4 linked regions of the Rattus norvegicus genome follow. The protein of the gene in region 1 purifies or fractionates together with the protein of each later gene. This does not show direct contact. Links are inferred from orthologs where the notes say so. Each region holds a gene or a part of one and is shown on either strand. Other genes may lie near its edges.

What was found. Proteins that work in one complex are often made in the same cells at the same time.
Region 2: the proteins of Eng (region 1) and Tgfbr2 purify together in Homo sapiens (affinity purification with western blotting; 3 studies listed by BioGRID). This does not show direct contact. The link is inferred for Rattus norvegicus from reciprocal best matches to the Homo sapiens genes ENG and TGFBR2.
Region 3: the proteins of Eng (region 1) and Tgfbr1 purify together in Homo sapiens (affinity purification with western blotting; 5 studies listed by BioGRID and IntAct, with this or other methods). This does not show direct contact. The link is inferred for Rattus norvegicus from reciprocal best matches to the Homo sapiens genes ENG and TGFBR1.
Region 4: the proteins of Eng (region 1) and Acvrl1 purify together in Homo sapiens (affinity purification with western blotting; 3 studies listed by BioGRID and IntAct, with this or other methods). This does not show direct contact. The link is inferred for Rattus norvegicus from reciprocal best matches to the Homo sapiens genes ENG and ACVRL1.

The regions. Positions count from the first base shown.
Region 1 is NC_086021.1:36,355,870-36,360,045, reverse strand, and holds part of Eng (endoglin precursor), read right to left. Parts: intron 3,624-4,176; coding exon 3,483-3,623; intron 1,515-3,482; coding exon 1,352-1,514; intron 641-1,351; coding exon 475-640; intron 1-474. UniProt on the Homo sapiens protein: Vascular endothelium glycoprotein that plays an important role in the regulation of angiogenesis. Required for normal structure and integrity of adult vasculature. Regulates the migration of vascular endothelial cells.
Region 2 is NC_086026.1:124,758,540-124,763,439, reverse strand, and holds the start of Tgfbr2 (TGF-beta receptor type-2 precursor), read left to right. Parts: upstream 1-1,970; 5' UTR 1,971-2,326; coding exon 2,327-2,420; intron 2,421-4,900. UniProt on the Homo sapiens protein: Transmembrane serine/threonine kinase forming with the TGF-beta type I serine/threonine kinase receptor, TGFBR1, the non-promiscuous receptor for the TGF-beta cytokines TGFB1, TGFB2 and TGFB3.
Region 3 is NC_086023.1:66,447,391-66,452,327, forward strand, and holds the start of Tgfbr1 (TGF-beta receptor type-1 precursor), read left to right. Parts: upstream 1-2,007; 5' UTR 2,008-2,089; coding exon 2,090-2,174; intron 2,175-4,937. UniProt on the Homo sapiens protein: Transmembrane serine/threonine kinase forming with the TGF-beta type II serine/threonine kinase receptor, TGFBR2, the non-promiscuous receptor for the TGF-beta cytokines TGFB1, TGFB2 and TGFB3.
Region 4 is NC_086025.1:134,122,394-134,127,156, forward strand, and holds the start of Acvrl1 (serine/threonine-protein kinase receptor R3 precursor), read left to right. Parts: upstream 1-1,833; 5' UTR 1,834-1,898; intron 1,899-2,149; exon of another isoform or gene 2,150-2,282; 5' UTR 2,283-2,358; coding exon 2,359-2,422; intron 2,423-2,930; coding exon 2,931-3,182; intron 3,183-3,318; exon of another isoform or gene 3,319-3,370; coding exon 3,371-3,582; intron 3,583-3,774; coding exon 3,775-3,874; intron 3,875-4,611; coding exon 4,612-4,758; intron 4,759-4,763. UniProt on the Homo sapiens protein: Type I receptor for TGF-beta family ligands BMP9/GDF2 and BMP10 and important regulator of normal blood vessel development. On ligand binding, forms a receptor complex consisting of two type II and two type I transmembrane serine/threonine kinases.

The DNA.
Region 1 (4,176 bases):
CTAAGTCTGGGGCATCTGAATACTTGATCCCAGTTTGGGAAGGCTTAGGGGCCTTCCTGGAGAAGGTAGCCCACAAGGGGTGGGCTTTGGTGCCCTCTCTGCCTCCTGTCTGTGTGGTTCAAGATGTGAGCTCTTAGCTGTTGCTCCAGGTACCTGCTACCTCCACTCTGCGGTTGTGAACCCTCTGGAACTGCGAGCCCAAAATAAACACATTGCCTTGGTTGTGGTGTTTTATCTCGGCAATGGGAAAGTTAACACATCGGGAGGCTGGGATCTGATTGGGTAATACACTCGGAGGTCAGGATCTGATTGGGTAATAGGATCTGATTGGGTAGCAGGATCTGATTGAGCAATATACGCGGAGGATAGGATCTGATTGGGTAATACACCCAGAGGATAGCATCTGATTGGTAATACACCTGGAGGATAGGACCTGATTGGGGAGGGCCATGCTCAGGAGGCCAGCACCCTTACCCGGCCTCAGAACCTGATCGAATCCTCAGGACATAGGCCTCCTTGTGTCCAGTCACACCTTCCAAGTGGCAGCCTTGGACTGGTGTCTGGGTTCGTGGTTGCCATTCAAGTGTGACGCCCATGTCCTTCTGAGCTTCTGGGAAGCAGAAGGGTGGTGCCTTTGGGTCTGTGGAGACAAATATATCAGAGGGTCTTACCCCGCTTTCAGACAAGGCAATGGTAGGGACATTCAGGACAGAGCCTAACAGGTGGGGGATGGCTTACTAGCTGAGTAGCTGAACTCGGTTTCCTCCTGTGTCAGCACAGCGTTAACATGACAAGTGAGCCAAGACACACATCAAGTAGTGCAGTACCCCCAGCCCCGCCTCCGCCCCAGCCCCGCCCCAGCCCCACCCCCGCCTCCACCCCCACCCGGCACAGGTCAGCTGTCTTTCTTCATTGTTTTTGGCATTATTTTGAGACACAGTGTCTCACTGAGCCTGGCTCACAGATTTGACTAGACTGGCTGACCAGCAAACCCCAGGGAAACCTTGAACTTGCAGAGTGAACTTGCAGAGGATGGGCTTGAATTCCTTATTCTCCTGCCTCTGCCTCCTGAGTGCTTAGATTACAGGTCCTTACCACCATGCTAGTCTAGGGCTCTAGGGCTTAACCTATGCAAGCACCCTATCAACGGAGCCGCATCTCCAGCCAAAAAGCTGGCATTTCTCATCCGATACCTGCTGCAGAAGCAGTCACCAACTTTGAAGGGCACCATCCAGCCTGTGTGACTTTGGGCAAATCACACGCCACTGCAGGCTGGTAGTACCCAAGTCAGGGGTTTGTTCAGTCTCTTCTGCAACTGAACCTGAACCCAGAAGCAACCGATGGAGCTGACCTTGGCCCAGCCGGAGGACAATGCTTTTGGGGTCATCCAGTGCTGCTATGGAGGTAATGGTGCCCTTGGTGGCTGCCCAGTCGAGGATCTGTGTCTTGGAGGTAAAGGATGGTAGTGGTGTGCTGTTGACTTTTGGTCCTTTGAAGACCTCGAGGCTGGAGTTCTGTGGAGACACAGAGTGCTGAGTCACTTCCTACCTGCCGGTCAGGAACCAATCTGAGTCAGCTCAGTTCATTGGCAGAAAAGAAGTCAAGACCTCAAATGACAAGGCTTAGAAGTCGTCAGTCGGGGGCTGGGGATTTAGCTCAGTGGTAGAGCGCTTACCTAGGAAGCGCAAGGCCCTGGGTTCGGTCCCTAGCTCCGGAAAAAAAAAAAAAAAAAAAAAAGAACCAAAAAAAAAAAAAAAAAAAAAAAAAGAAGTCGTCAGTCAGCCCAGAGCCCCCAGGTACCTCTTCTAGCACAGCCATATTGGCACCATCTTCCTCCTGCATGTGATGGCTACAGACACACGTTTGTCCATCTGGTCTTGGCCTTAGCCTCACCACGAGGCACTTATTCAAACCATGTATAATGGCATCAATGTAGCAACTGTCTGTATCCGTCTGCACTCTGGGTTCAGGAAGGGAAATCTTCTTGTCCACTCCCCCCCCCACACACACACACACTTGACACATTGTAGGCCCCAGCCATTGTTCATTGCGGATCTGTTATGCCAGCTGCACCTTCATACCTGCCACACACAGTAGGTACTGCGGATGCATGGGGAGGGGAAAGTGGAAGGGGAAAAGGGGGAAGGTATGAGAAAACAGTGAATGAGTGAATGGAAGAAAACAGATGAGGTGCTGCCGACCCTGGGAGCTCATCATTCAGAAACTAGAGAAGTCGAAGTAATAGAAGGTACAGGATATTTACTTAATAAATAACAAAAACCAAGGCTTGAGCCTGGCAGTGGTGGCTTGTGCTTTTAATCCCAGCACCTGAGAGGCAGAGGCAGGCAAAACTCTTGAGTTTGAGGCCAGCCTGGTCTACAGAGCGAGTTCTGAGACAGCCAAACCTACATAGAGAAACCCTATCATGAAAAGCAAAAAACAGGTCTGGAAAGATGGCTTGGATTTAAGAGCCCAGGTTCAGTTCCCAGCCACCCACATGGTAGCTCACAACCATCTGTAACTAGCGTCCTAGGGAACGCAATATTTTTCTGGCCTCTCTAGGCACAAGATCTGGTACGCAGACACACATGCAGACAAAACACTCAAGTACATAAAATTACATTCGATTTAATTTCGAAAAGAAATGCAACCCAAGACCTCTGGCTGGCTGGGGACAGGGAGTCTGGAGAGATCCCAAACCCCACTGCTTCCCTTAGGGTCCTTTGGGGTCTGTTGGGCCAAGAAAAGAAATAAAGAGGACTTCCTGGAAGAGGTGACCCAGAGGACTCCTTTGAGCTGAAGAAGCAGCAGCAGGAGGGATTCAGGCTAGATATTAAGGGGGACTGCATGGCGCTCAGAGGAGATATAATAGAACACACTGCCTGCTCTGAAGGCTTTAACCTCAGTAAAACAGGGTTACAGCCGTGACTCAGGCGCATGGCGCTTATCGGTCTCCTGGCTTATGCCCCGCCCAACACTGAAGGCAGGCCTCTGACCTCTGGGTGGTGATCTGTTACAGATGACTCAAGGCTGTCACTGTGAGTGTTAAATGCAAGTAAAAAGGTGCAACCAGGCTAGGCTGCAGCTACAACCCTCCAGCCAGAGCTTGCCTTACAAGTGCACACAGAACCCTGGCAGCTCCCAAACCCTGGGAAGGAGGTGAGGAAGGGAATGGAGGGAGAGGCACCATGGGAAGGTCTCTAGGACCTGACTTCCCCTCTCGGTGATAAAGAGAAGGATACTCTGGGAATGGAAGCCAGACCCTTGCGGTTGGACTTGGGAGGGGATTTTCCGTGGTGTCCCCACCATGCTGGTCTGTGTGTCCATCTGTGAGAGGGCCTTCACCTTTACTGCCCACCTCTGCCTCCTCTGGCACCTTCTGGTCCTATCCCTGCCTTTATGGTGTGCTGCGTTGCTCACAGAAAGGGACACCAGGCAGGGGCTTCCCATAGCCTGCCTGGAATTAGGGATCATACACTCACGTAGACCAAGTGCAGTGGGATTTCTGGGGCCTGGAGCTTCACCAAGACATTCTCGTTCGAAATGAAGACCAGAAACACCTCCCGAGTCTCAGTGCCATTTTGCTTGGATGCTTGAAGAGTCAACTCCACCTCGGACTTCCTCTGGGGAAAAGTCATGGACATAGATATATCAGTCAGGTTTTGCTTCATGTATGGTTGACGACCATTCCATAGGCCATCCCTGACTTGACCTATCTTCTCGCCAGTTACCTGTCCGCAAAGTAATGCCTATCCCCTCGCATGCCTAGAAAATGTAAGAGGGTTTCAGCAAGCGCGACCGCCAAGACCGAGGACCTGAGTTCAATCCCCAGGACTTACCTGGTAGAAAGAGAGTCCTGACTCCTACAAGCTGTCCACAGAGCTCTGCACCAGCCCTGTGATGCATGCACGCGCACACACACACACACACACACACACACACACACACACACACACACACACAATCAATGCCTGCACACACATACACGCACACACTAAGTAAATAAATACAAATTAAACGAAAAATAAGAAGGAAAGAGGGCGTGAATGAATGAGTGAGCTTGGTCTCAACCAAGCAAAGAAAGAAGAACAAAACTATGACAAGTCTGTGCTTCACATAGCTTTCAGGATTGCAAGGTCATCCTTCCCTTCCTCCTCCTCCTCCTCTTCTTCCTCC
Region 2 (4,900 bases), on another chromosome or scaffold:
CCTCCAGACCCTGCATAGGAAACTGGGTTGGGGGGCAGGAGAGAGCTTGGTGTGTAAAGTGCTTGCTGCACAACCACGAGGACCCGAGTTCAGGTCCCACCACCCACACAGAAAGCCCACCATTTGCTTCATGTGTGCCCATAGCTCCAGTGTTGTGGAGCAGAGACAGGAGAATCATTGGAGCTTGCTGGTCACCATCCTGGTTTTAGGTTCAGTGAGAGACCTTGTCTCAAATAAATAAGGCAGGTAGTGACAGAGAGGACTCTGGGTATCCTCTGGCTTCCATGTATGTGTGCACCCACACTCACTTGTGCACAGTGATACACACACACACACACACACACACACACACACACACACACAGCTGGCACAGATGCAGCTGAGACCCCAGTGCTGGGGAAGCAGAGGCAGGAGGATGTCTGGGTTGTTGACCAGCTGGTCAGGCCAATCTTCCATCTCCAGGATCCATGGGAAACTCATGCGAGTCAAGGGGCTGGAGAGCTGGCTCAGCAATTCAGAGCACTTGCTGTTTCTACAGAGACCCAGATTCAGTTCCCAGGACTCACAAAGTCACCTCCTGGACACGTGGCTAGTGCCGCCTTCGGTGACTCTCGTTCCAGAAGACTCTATGTCCTCTCATAGTCTCTTCTGCAACAGGCGTGCATGTGATGCACATGCAGACATGAAGGCAAGGTACTCACACATCAAATAAAATAAACCCTTAAAAACAAATCAGGTGAGGTGATTGAGGTACACATGGGATGTGAACTTACGGCCTCCACGTGCCCCACACAGACAGGTTCACACATGCACACGCGCACACCCACACACCCAAACCTACATGCACATGCATATGCACACACACACACGCACACACACACGCTCACGCACATGCACATGCATGCACACATGCACGCACACACACATACACCACAGAGATTGTCTCTGGAAAATGTGGTCACACCAGAAAGAATGAAAATTTTGATGGGTCTTCCTACTGATAGCCTTTCTACCTTCAGCCACGTATTTTCTGTCCTTACCTGAATTATCAAAGATTGATCATTGGAAAACAGAAAGCAGAACCCCCCAACCTAAGACACTTTTTATTTTATTTTTTATTCATTTTATTTTTGGTTTTCCAGGACAGTATAGCTTTAGCTGCCATAGAACTCACTCTGTAGACGAGGCTGGCCCCGAACTCGTAGAGTCCCGCCCACGTGCGCCATCCCAGCCTGGTCCCCAAAACACTTTTATTTCTTTAGTTTCTGACAGGCAACACCCTGAAAATACCAGCCCTACCGCGATCACAGGGCCAACTATTTGGCTTTACCCAGCAGACCACGCCCAGGAAATGGTCCTTCCAATCCGAGGCTCTACCCAGGTGCTCATTAGAAATGCAGACGCTGCCGGTTCAGACCTACTAAACCAGAACCTGCAGGTTAGCTAACTTCCTAGCCCAGAGTGATTAATTCGCACACTAAACTCGGAGACAAGCCCCTGGACTTTTGTTCCACAGTAAGAAACAGTCCTTTACAAACGTAATCACGCATGCATGTCCATAAAACTGAAACTAAGTTCTCATGAAGTGCTTACCGTTATTTTATTAGGGGAAACCACGTGTTCGGGACTCTGGAGCTACATTTCAGAGCTCCCTCCTGGGTCTCAACGGAGTTATGAAGTCCCTGGGAGCAATGCCTAGAAGGTGTAGGGGATGCTTGGAGGAGGGTATCAAGGAAAGTGGTTTACACCACCTTCTAGCTTGTTTTGCGAAACGTGCGCTTAGTCACTTCTGAGTTTGAACTTGGAGCCGGGACTTAGCAGGGTCGGGGTGAGTGGGAGCGCTGGGAGTGGGCAACTCAAAGTTCGTAGAGTCCCTCAAGGTCCAATCCAGCGGCCTTGATTGGTGGCCGGAGGAAGGCGAGGGCTGGAAGCTGGAGGAGAGGACCGGAGCTGGAAGGCTCTTGGGCGGCGAGAGGTCCTGCCCAGCTGTTGGCGAGGAGTTTCCTGTTTCCCTCCCGGCGCCCGGGTAAAGTTGATGAGTGAGTCACTCGCGCGCACCGACCGACGACACCCCCCGCGCGCGCACACGCTCGCCTGGGGGACGGAGCCCCAGCCTCCTGCGCAGCTCTCCTCGGCCGCCGGGGGCCTCCTCCGGGCCTCCGAGCTCCGGGGATCGCCGGCCACATCTGGCCCGCACCTCTGCCCAGCGCGCTCCGGGCGGCGCAGGCATCCTGAGAGGGCGAGGAATAAAGGCGCAGCCCGGGGTCCCCGAGGCTCGGTTCGCGGCGCCCCAGGGGCCGGTCTATGACGAGCGACGGGGGCTGCCATGGGTCGGGGGCTGCTCCGGGGCCTGTGGCCGCTGCACATCGTCCTGTGGACGCGCATCGCCAGCACGATCCCGCCGCACGTTCCCAAGTCGGGTGAGTGAGTGGCCGGGGCGCGACGCTGGGGGGTTCACTAGGGCTCCTCGCTCCTTCTCCAACCCCCAGGGCAGCGACTGACAGTCGGCCGCGGGACCCGGCGCGAGGGCGGAAACGGGAAGTTTGTAGCGGCCCGAGTCGGCTCGGGCCCGCGGGGTTCCGGGGAAGATCTCTCGCAAAAGAGCAGGACAGTCCACTTGCGGGGGACTTGGGGACGCTCCTGACCCCTTTGTGAGCGCACGAGAGGCGAGGGCGGCCACGAGGGGCCTGCATCCCCGGAAAGGGAAGTTTAAGAAGTTGGAAGTTGGAGGAGCATCGGCAGGGGACTGGCCGCCCAGCTGCTGCACACCTGGGCCGCTCACTGCCCGAGACACCGCGACTAAACCAGACTCCCAGCCCTCAGCTCTGCCACCTCGGGAGGGATTCTGGGCCGCGACTCACTGGGTACAAGTTAGAGAAAAGAACTGATCTCTAGCCTCACTGTTTCCTGGCCTGCTGGGATGCGGACCCAGTGAGGGTGGTCGGGTTGATGGCTGAGAAAAATTTGCTGCATGCCTACTAAGTGTTGGACTGCACGGGTACTGCCTGGAATTAAAGATCTCAGCAGCTGCGGTTCAGTGGAAACACCTAACCCGGGTTGCCCTCCAGGTCCCATCGCAGGGGTGGTGCAAGAACTAGGGCTCCTTCCTAAGAACTTTTTTGGGAAGTTTAAAGTCTGACATTTTAACCCTAAAGTTAGAATTGTTGCTGCTATCTGTGTAGGACCACTATCCGGGCAAATCTCGTGGCTCTGGGCCTCGGTTTCCCCTTGTGTATAACTCAGTGGTTCAGTTTGTGTAAGTTTACACTCTTTTCATCACTGGCTTTCCATGACCTTCCTTGGTGACTAAGAGGTGGCCAGGGTGGATTTGGGGTGAAACACAGAGGATGGGGTGGCCCTGTGTGTGCGTGTTGCCGGGCGCGGAGGTGGGGTTCGAGGGAGGGCTTTGAAGATGTCAGTAGTTGGAGTGATTTAACGGTTTTGGATCATATTGCAAACAGGAGCGGACCATCTCAGGGAAGAGTCCGATAAAGGAAAACAACAAAAATCCCACCAGGGTCTTAGTCGTTTCATAAACTCTGCTTTCGTGTCGTTGGTTTCCGTTAAAGGGCAGCTCCAGAAAGCCCAACTGTTTCTGATGTTACTCCAGCCTCTTAAAACTGGGCTGGGAGATTTGGCCCGGCTGGTAAGAGCATTTGCTGTGCAAGCTTGAGGACCTGAGTTCAAACCCCCCAGGGTCCGTATGCAAAGTTGGGCGTGGTTCATCGCCAGCCCAGTGGTAGTGAGAGAAGACTGAAGACCCTTTGGAAATTTCTAGATGCCAAGCTAGCTCTAGGTTCAGAGAGAGACTCCATGGAGAGTGACAGAGGGCACTTGGTGTCCTCCCCTGCCCCTTCCCATGCACACAGACCCTACCCCGAACACACATAAACACACGCAGGAAGAAAAAAATTAAAAGAAAAACTGCCGCGTTTTGCTGAAGACCATCCGAAAGAACACCCTTCTTTTTGTGTACATAAAACATTTGTTTTAGCTCGGGAAGAACCAAAGTCCAGAGGCCCCAGTTTGAGTTTTGTTTACAAGAGTGAGATTTGCGATTTTCGAGTTCCAGGCTCTGTAGCTTGTGGGTCATTTATACACAGTTTTAAACAATTAGCTGATGGGCTTGGTGGGTCTTGTTAATTTGGGCTTTAAATGATTTTATAAAACAGAGAGTTTTTTCTTTTTAAACATTTTATGGAATTGCTATTCCAGAATGTTTGGACAGTTCATTTTGAGTTGTACCCATGTGGATCAAAGTCTTTAAAGATGGTTTAAAGTTGGTCCCAGGGAAAGGATGTGTGGAATTCCACTTGCCTTTTCAGTTTCCAGAGAAGAAAAGGGTATTGGGATTTCTCTGACATAGTGGTAAACTGTGAGAATGTTTCTCAAGATAACTTTAATGCAAGAGACAATGAGAAGGAAGGAGGATTCTTTACAAAGCCCTAGTCAGTCCTAAACAAACAAATATCTCATGCTGACCAGCCTGGCAAGTGAACAAGCGATTTCAGTGTAAGAGAAATTCACACTAAAGAAAATTATTTAAAACTTCTTTTCCTCATGTTTCTCTGAGGGTGCTGTACATGAGTACTGGACTAGGGTGGGCACACCCTTGGGTGCTCATGGGTGTGGAGGCTGGAGGTTGACAGAGGGTGCTCATGGGTGTGGAGGCTGCAGGTTGACAGAGGGTGCTCATGGGTGTGGAGGCTGGAGGTTGACAGAGAGAGGGTGGTCTTCAGTTGTTCCACTTCATTTACTCAGGCAGGCTTCTTAGATGGTGCAAGGATTCTAGTTGAACCCACAGTGCACTGCGTGGGTTTGTCCTGCTAACCAGCTTGTCTTGGAGAACCCCAGAGTCTGCCTCCTGGGTGCTGGCACTAGAGGTCACCAACACATCCTT
Region 3 (4,937 bases), on another chromosome or scaffold:
AGTCCCATTTATGAGCGGGATGGGTGCTTTTAATATTTGCTACCCATTAAAGATAACCAGAGGAAAAAATTCCTATGAGATTAATTATTCATGCATAGAATAAAAACTCTCTTGAGATCTTATGCAAGGCACAGACTAGATCAGAAAAAGAAGAGGGGAGGGGCATCTTGGCATGTGGCTGTAACCCCAGCCCTGGGGGAGGGGAGGTGGGAGACTAAGGCAGGAGGATTCCAAATTTCAGTCTAGCCTGAGATCCTGTCTGTAAAAAACAAGGGCTGGGGGCCGGGGCCATGGGTGAATAGTTAAGAGACTGCTCTGGCAGAGGAAGTGGTTCTGTTCTTAGCATTCTTGTCGGGTAGCCCACAACCACCTGCAACTCCAGTTCCAAGTAATTGGACGCCCTCTTCTGGACTCCACAAGCACTACATGCACGTGGTGCACATAGGAGCTGGACCCAATCTTTAAAAAAATAACAAGAACTGGGGCCGTAGCTTATCAGTAGAGAGTATTTGCCTAGCTATTAGTAGAGTACTTGCCGAGGAAGTACAAGGCTTTGGGGGTGGGGGTGAGGCGGGGATAGGCACTGGAGATTTCGGGTGTGACAGCCCCTTTAAGTCTTTCAGAGAGATTGCCTTAGAAGCTAGTCAAATTTAGTCTCTGTAGCCTCGGTGCAGGGGAGCTAGGAACTGATCGTTCTGCAGTCCCAGAGAGCAGGCCTGTTCAGGTTCTGGCAGGTTAGGACTTGCTCAAGCGTGTCCTAGCTGGAGCCGAGAAGCAGTCTCAGACCCCAGCTCTAACCCCCACGGTTTGCTTTCATAAGCAGGATCAAACTCTTGGAGAGTGGCTGTAAAACAATTTACTAACAGATACTAGAGGCCGGCTGGTTCCTACTACCGAGCTTCATTTAATTCCGAGTTCAAATCATACAGAAAATAAAATTTTCTCCTTAAAAGGTTCTGCGGAAAAATGCTGTCGGTGCCATGCGGCCGCCTCCGTGACTGTGTTTGTGTCTGAAGAAAGGACTAGTCTGACAGGAAGAATTACAAATCTGGAGCTCATTTTGGCATCCCAGAGGGAAGGTGGGTGGAGCGTCTCACAGTAAATTAGGAATTCAGAATGAAAGCGGAGCTGAGTTTATTTGGGTTTTTAGTGACACCTCGAAATTATTACACAGGCGTGTCGGAGACAGCTCTAAGTACCTATGACTGCTCCCGCTTCGCCCCGAATCCCCCATCATTCAAAACCCGTAGGCCTCTCCGCTTCCACGCGGGGTCAGGAAGGTGGGAGGGAAGGAGAGCGGCGGGGACCCACAGTCTGTTTATACTGCCGAGAGACACAGGCCACTCAGGGGTGTGTCTGAGCTCCGCCTCGGGATTCAGAATCTGGGCTCCGACTTTGGGACTGGAATTTGAGGAGGGCAAGACTAGGTCTGGGGCGGCCATAGAGTGCGGGAAGAAATCGGGTTATCTTTGCGGGGAGGCTGGGAATTGAGGAGCGGGTCTAGGGAGAAGAAGTTGAACCGCGGACCGTATTGAGGGTCGGAGTGGCGATAGTTGAGCTTTGCCGGTGCAGGACTGTGCAGGGAAAGTCAGGGTGGGGTTGGAGTAGAAGAAAAGAGCGAGCAACGTCCACAGTCTTTCCCTGAGCAACTCTTACGGGCACACCCAGCGCTTAGTCCGGACTGCGGGCTCCCTCGGGCGCGCAGGCTGGACCCTGCCCCCACCCGCCGGTAGAGTACGAGCTACCCTGCTGTGGCTGGAGTATAGGCGCCCAGCGGTGAGGGGGCGTGGCCAGAGGCCCAGCAGTGCGGAGGCGTGGTTAGAGGCAGAAGTCCAGGGCCGCTCATTGGCCGCCCAGGGGCCCCGAGGGCGGGGCTCTCCGCTGGGTCCCTCTAGGGCGCTCGCGGGCGGCGGGGGAGGCGGGGTCGGCGGGAGCTGGGCAGCCAATGGGCGTGCGCCCCTCGAGCAGTTACAAAGGGCCGGAGCGAGGCCGCAGCGGCGGCGGGGAGGTGGGGCGAGGAGAGGCGAGGCTTGTTGAGGAGAAGCTGAGGCCGGGGCCGGGCCGGGCCACAAACAGTGGCAGCGGGACCATGGAGGCGGCGTCGGCTGCTTTGCGTCGCTGCCTGCTTCTCATCGTGTTGGTGGCGGCGGCGACGCTGCTCCCGGGGGCGAAGGGTGAGTGGCGGGCGGGTGGCTGTGGGGCGCGCGAGCCGGGCCCGGCCTCTGGCTCGCTTCAGCTCTTTCTCAAACATGGCGCGGGGCCGGGGGCGCAGGTGGCGGCGCCGGGCCGGCCGAGCTTTCCTGACCCGGCAGGCGCCACGCGAGCCGGGGCGGGGAGGAGAGGCGGGGCGGGGGCGGTGTCGAGCGCGGGTGGCCGAACACCGAGCGGAGGCCTGCCCTCTTGGGCTCCCGGGAGCAGCGGCTGGCGAGCCTGCTGAGGTCTGTGGCTGCCCTCGGGGGTGTGAGGCCGGCGGGGACCGTGGCCCCCTGATTCCACTGCCTAAGTGCTCTCCGGCCTGAGACTGTTAGGGCGTGGGCGGGCACCGGCGTGGAGGCGCTCCGGGGCTCGGCGCGTGGAGGGCTCCTCGGAGGGTCGTAAGGGGCGCCGTGGGCAGAGATCCCGGGTGGGCCGCACTGCTGTGAGTGTCGGCGCCCGCCTAGGGCGACTTTTCTTCAACCGGGGGCTTTGTGTGAGAAGCAGGCGCGAAGATGCGCGGAATGTTCTCTCTTCGTGCGTCTGGGAAGAGTTGAGAGTTCAGTAACCAGAAGATTGCCTTGCTAGTAGAAACTTGAACGTTTGCTCACTCTGCAGACTTGGGATCGTTTGAATGGGAATGATTCTGTAGAATTGATCAAAGATTTCTTTTTCTCGACGGGATCGTTGCTTTGGGTGTATCGTTTCCTTAAGCAGTAGTCTTAAAATCAGACCTCTATGTAGCTGGCTTTTGAAGGGAAAATGTGTAGTTTTCCAAAATATTAAAACCGGCCGTGATACGGTTGTCACCCCGTGGAGGGAAGATTGAAAAACTTAGTCCGGAACCGATTAAAATAGGAGAAAGCAAAATACTGAGGCTCAGATTAGCAACTAAAATACAGTGAAAATACATGTCTGTTGCTGAAATTGGATAACATTTTAAAAAGCAAAGCATACCAAAACAAAAATCTCTCCAGACTGTGGATGCCAGCTGTTATTAAACTTAATAGTAACTGTTTATTGGGAGTTGATTATAATGCAGATGTAAAAGGCACAGTATCTCGGGGCACAGAACCCTCGGGGCTACCAGTACTTGTCCTGTACATTGACTTGAAAACTGAGGTGCAGGAGATTACGTTCTTAGTAAGTGCAGAAATTAATTTGTACTTAGGCCTTTCTGGGCTCAAAATCAGTGCACCTGCTATACCGTAGCATAGCCCACTTAAAGAACAGTTGATATTTGACACTTAGAACTTAGCCATCAGTTTCTTAGTTTACTTGAACTTGAACAACCTAGTACTTGAACATTCCCTTCACAAAGGTCTTCATTAGAAGATACCATGGGTTTTTGACATTGGCTTAGGAAGGGAATAACGGTGGACAAAGTGGGGGAATTGTTATAATTATTCACCAACTATAAGTGGCCATATCTCTACAATTATTTGAATAAAGTAATTCTTTTCTACCTAAAACAAAGCAAGACACGTTCATGCATTTAGCAGTATTGACTTAGATGCTGAGAAGGTTGGTCCGTGTCCTGGAGGATTTTATTACTCAAAACCTAGACTAGTACTTCATAAACTTTCCCCGTTTGCCATCCTCTTTTCTCAAAAGATTGTACGTGACCTTGAGTACAAAATGTAGAAAGCAAGTATATAATTCAGATGTGCTGATAATAGATCATAAATGAAATTATTTTAAAACAATTCATTGGTACATACAATTTTACTATTTATTAAAGATTCAAGCACATTTTCATAGTAATGAGATGGGTGAGTTTATTTTTACTTAAAGAATTAAATCATCCAATGCCAACGACTCCATATAATTGTTTAGGGCCATTTCAGACATTGTTGAAAATTCTCTCTTAATCACAAGATGAAATTTATTTAATAATTTTTTATTTATATAAGTATGCTGTAGCTGTCTTCAGACACACCAGAAGAGGGCATCAGATCTTATTACAGATGGCTGTGAGCTACCATGTGGTTGCTGGGAATTGAACTCAGGACCTCTGGAAGGGCAGTCGATGCCCTTAACCACTGAGCCGTCTCTCCAGACCTCATTTAATAATTTTTAAAATGAAATTTAAGTCAGCAACTTAAACAGCAGTTTTTAAAATCAGACATTCTAACACAATACAGTCGATCTACAATCGATCACAAATATACCACTTTGATATACATGAAGGATGAAAGCCTTTTCTGTATGTATGTTTCTGGAAGAATAGAAAACTTTTTATTTAATAAAAAACATTAAAACTTATAAAAATAAATGTTAGCACTGCATAACACGACAGCAAGTGTGTTTAGAACCAAGGGTGTTGTGAAGTTGCATCATGTAACACAAGCATGCATTGCCAGAAACACTTCAGATTCATTACTCATTTGATTTTTAATTAATTTGGAGTGTTATACATTCAGAAGTCCTTGAGTATTGCCAGATTGTTGTATGACCCAGCACCTCTATAAGGAGTTAGGATTCAGTTTAAGAAGCTATGGCCTCTTGGTCCTGTGAAGGCTGGATGCCCCAGTGTTGTAGGGGAATGCCAGGGTGGGAAGGCAGGAGGGGAGCGGGTGGGTGGGGAGCACCCTCATAGAAGCAGGGGGAGGGAGGATGGGATAGGGAGTTTCCAAAGGGGAAGCCAGGAAAGGGGATAACATTTGAAATGTAAATAAAAAAGTATCCAATAAAAGAAAAGAAAAAAAAGAAGCTATGACCTGCTGGGCCTTGTGACTCATGCC
Region 4 (4,763 bases), on another chromosome or scaffold:
GCGTGCACTACTCTACCCGGCTCCCAGTATGTTTCTTGCTTGTCTCAGGCAGACTGAATGGAAACCTGGAGTGGGTGACAGACCAAGGGATCTACGTAGGTAACCCACTGCATGGGGTTCCAATATGCAGAGGAAAGGCAGGTTAGGGAGGTGGACTCTTGCTTGCACGTCTCAGAGAGATGTCTTGTTGATAGCCATTACCCACATCTGATAAAGTCTGCCATTAATGGCTTCCTGCCCACAGCCTTGGAACATGCCCCGTCTGCATTTACCCACAGAAACCCTGCAGAGTCCTAACTGGTTACTAGCAGGGGCAAGAGGCAGGTCAGAACCTGGGACACAGTTGCAACAGCAGGGCAGGTTTCTATTTCCTCCCTCAGACCAGGCCTCTGGGGCAGAGGAAACCCAGGCAGGAAGGCTGGGGCTTCCACTAGCCAGAAAGGTCCACCAAGCCCCTCAGCCTGACCCTAGACATCCTGCCCCCCAAAAAGCATCCTGGGTCTCCATTCAATACCAAGCTTAGAGCATGGGCCTCTGTAGTGTAAGCGACCAGTCCTTCCAGACTTCTGGTGTCTTCTCACAGGACACTCCACATGTTGGTTCCTGAGCTGAGGATCTAGCCTGCACACCCTGCTATTCGGAAAGTCTGTGTTCCCGTCTGACCGAGGCTCCTCTTGCTACAGGCTCAGCACTTGTCTGCTGGCTCTGGGGCTGTGAGAAGGGAAGAGTGGTGCAGCTTCTGAAGCAGTAGTTGGTTTGGGTCCTGAGTTGAGGACTGTCATCTCCCAGAGTCACGTCTCTCACCAGCGTCCGTCAAACTTCTGGAAGAGTGAAACCCCAGGCAACTCTTCGAGGTCAAACACTCAGTGTCTAAGTATGTTTCACTTCCTGTACCACTGGCCCTCCCCCAGCCCTTTCCCAGGACAGCAAGAAGAGAGAAGGGGGCCCAGATGGCTCCAAGGGAGAAACGGGCTTTTTATAGCTAGTCACTGTCAGGCTGTATAGGGTTGCTGGAGGATGCAGGCAGAGGTTGGCTCCACCAGCTCAGAACACAGAGAAGAAGGAACAGTTTGGGGAGGTGGGGTCTATACTCTCGGGTTAGACTCCTGTTACTGCAAAAGAATTCTTTTTTTTTTTTTGGTTCTTTTTTTCAGAGCTGGGGACCGAACCCAGGGCCTTGCGCTTCCTAGGCAAGCGCTCTATCACTGAGCTAAATCCCCAACCCCCTGCAAGACAATTCTAATGGGATCTGAGAGGCCTCCTCCCCTGGGTGAGCCTTACTCTCCCCACTTTAAAACCAGAGCTGCAGGGGCTGAGGAGACGGCTCAGCGGTTAAGAGCTCTGACTGATCTTCCAAGAGGTCCTGAGTTCAAATCCCAGCAACCCCATGGTGGCTCACAGTCATCAGTAATGGGATCCAATGCCCTCTTCTGGTGTGTCTGAGGACAGTTGCAGTTTACTTATATAGAATAAATAAACAAACAAATAAATAAAGCTTAAAAAAAAACAGAGCAGCAGGGGAGGGGAACGAAGAGCTGGTACAGCGGAGGTAAAGATGCTTGCTACACAAGCTAGGTGACCCGAGTCCCATCCCCAGCACCCATGTGAAGGTGGAAGGAGAAAAACAGCTCTACAGGATCGACTTCTCACACTCGTACCTTGGCACAAGGACCCTTACAGGCAGACACAATAATAAAGACGACATTTTTTTTTTTAAATCCGAGCTGGGGTTGATGGTGCATAGGGTACCCACACAGACTTCACGCGGTCGTCTCGGCTCCAGGTTGCCCCTACCCTGAGCTCCCGGCTGTGCGTGACTCCAGCGTGTTCTATCCAGACTTCAATCTAAACAATCTTGATTCCTGTAGCCGGCCTGGCGGGACCCTGAATGGCAGGAAGTGAGGACGGGACCTGTTTATGTTTGAAGCAGCCTGGCTTTGGGAGGGGGGGGGGCACTGGGAAAGGGTGGGCAGGGTGATGGGCAAATGACTGAGGACAAGAGACGAGCTATAAGAGAGACGTTCTTCCGCTGTAGCTCTGTCGGTCTGCAACCCTCCCGGCCTGATCCCCTCTAAACTCAGCAGTGGGAGCAGAGCCATGGTCCTCTCTGGCTCTCTTCTAAACATAGCTCTCCACCCCTTACCCCCAGCAGACGGTTTCCATGGGGAAGTGAACCGGGACTTCCCTTGCAAGCCACGCCCTGAAACCAGACGTAGGAGTTGGGAGGTGGCTTCTCTGCCTCCCCCCCACAAAAAAACCTCTTGGTGATTTCCTCCTGGTAGGAGGAGACCTTGGTCACCACAGCTATCACAGTTTGCAGATCTCGTCACATCTCTTCTCCTCCTATCTCCAAGGACCATGACCCTGGGGATTTTCCGAAGGGTCTTTTTGATGCTGTCGGTGGCCTTGGGCCTAACTAAGGGTGAGTATTGGGAGGGGCAGCATGGGGACCTGAATGGAAGGAGGCTATCTGGGTTCAGGTCAGCTTTTGCTAGGACTGGAACTTGGGGGCTGAGAACAGGGCCCTGGCTGGAGGAGGGACAGTAGTCCCGTAGACTAGGCCCCCAAGCTGTTCCCACCTTCCTTTATATCTTCGTGACACTGAGTTGCAAGCCAAGGCTCCTTCCAGGATAGAACCTACGTCTTGGGTGGAGAGAACAAGAGGGAGGCTTATTATTCTCTGTGAACACTCTCTGTGAACAGGGGGAGCCTGGGACCATTGGAGGACCTGTAGTAGGGAGAGGAGGTCCCAGTACAGACTGTAGACAGAAACTGGCTTCTCAGTCTTCACTGCCTGTAGCTAGGGGCAAGGCTCAGAGAGAAGAACAGTTAGGGGATGGGATTAAAGGACCAAGGCTTGAGGGGCTTGCCTGTGAGATCAGAAGGGATGGGACAGTAGGAAGAGTGCCTAAATTTCTCATGACCCCCAGGAGACTTGGTGAAGCCCTCCAGGGGTCAGCTGGTAAACTGCACTTGTGAGAACCCACACTGCAAGAGGCCAATCTGCCAGGGGGCATGGTGCACAGTGGTGCTAGTTCGAGAGCAGGGCAGGCACCCCCAGGTCTATCGGGGCTGCGGGAGCCTGAACCAGGAGCTCTGCCTGGGACGTCCCACGGAGTTTGTGAACCATCACTGCTGCTATAGATCCTTCTGCAACCACAATGTGTCCCTGATGCTGGAGGGTACGTCGGGTGTTCTCCCACTCTTCCTCTTATTAAACTATGCCCCCTGCCCTTCTTTCTTCTCATGCCCTGGTTCACATGGAGAGGGTGTGGGGAGGCAGGATGCTGGGATCTGACTGTAAGTGGTCTGGCTCAGGGTCAGGAGAGCTAGCCTGGTAGAGCTGGGACTCAATGTCCCCCTCCTCCAGCCACCCAAACTCCTTCGGAGGAGCCAGAAGTAGATGCCCATCTGCCTCTGATCCTGGGTCCCGTGCTGGCCTTGCTGGTCCTGGTGGCCCTGGGCACTCTGGGCTTGTGGCGTGTCCGGAGAAGGCAGGAGAAGCAGCGGGGTCTGCACAGTGACCTGGGCGAGTCCAGTCTCATCCTGAAGGCATCGGAACAGGGAGACAGCATGTTGGGGGTATGGCCTGGGGCAGCCCGGGATACCAGGGTAGAGGGTGGGTGTGGAGAGAGGAGCTATGGTATCAGGGGTCACCCAATGATGACAGTGAGAGTCAAGCTGTGATATAGCAGTGGAGCCAGCAGTGGCAGAGAATGGAGAAGGCAGTGGTTGATGGGGGGTAGCCACTGACTAACTACTCGTTATCCTCAGGACTTCCTGGTCAGCGACTGTACCACAGGCAGCGGCTCAGGGCTACCCTTCTTGGTGCAGAGGACAGTAGCGCGACAGGTTGCACTGGTGGAGTGTGTGGGTAAGCACTCAGTGAGCTGGGGATAGACCTGGGGAGGTCAGGAAGCTCTTGGCTTCCAGGATCCAGCCTGGATCCAGCCTGGGCCAGAGTAAGATACTCTGCTAGGTAGGGTTGGTTCTGGGCCAAGGTCAGGTCATTTTTGCAAGGACAGGGATGAACTGATAAGCTAAGAGTAGCCCAAAGCTGGGACAAGATGTTAATAAAGGTATATTTTCAGGTTTGAGGAGAGCCATAGGGCTTAGCAGGGGAAGGCACTAGAACCAAGACTGATGGCCCAAATCCAATCCCTGCGACGTACTCGTCGAGAGGAGAGAACCATCTTCCTCAGATTGTCCTCTGACCTCCACATGTGATCCCATTTAGTGTGTATCACACACACACACACACACACGAATAAATAAATAAATAAATAAATAAATAAATAAATAAATAAATGAAAAATATTGTGATCTAGAAGGCAGCTGGGGTTTTTGGCACATGCCTTTAATACCAGCACTAGGGAGGCAGAGGCAGGCAGATCTCTGTGAGTCCAAGGCCAGCCTGGTCTACATCGCAAGTTCCAAATCAGCAAGACAAATGAGACCTTATACTTAAAAAAAAAAAAAAGTTAAAAATAAATAAAATCGGATTTTTGCAGAGGGGATCTATCTTCATAGCATCCGGAATTGGGGTGGGGGTTTTTAAGGACTATGTGTGTCTAGTGCGTGGTCCTTATTCTTCCCTTGGCCACGGATTAGGAAAGGGCCGATATGGCGAGGTGTGGCGCGGTTCGTGGCATGGCGAGAGTGTGGCGGTCAAGATTTTCTCCTCACGAGATGAGCAGTCCTGGTTCCGGGAGACAGAGATCTACAACACAGTTCTGCTTAGACACGACAACATCCTAGGCAAG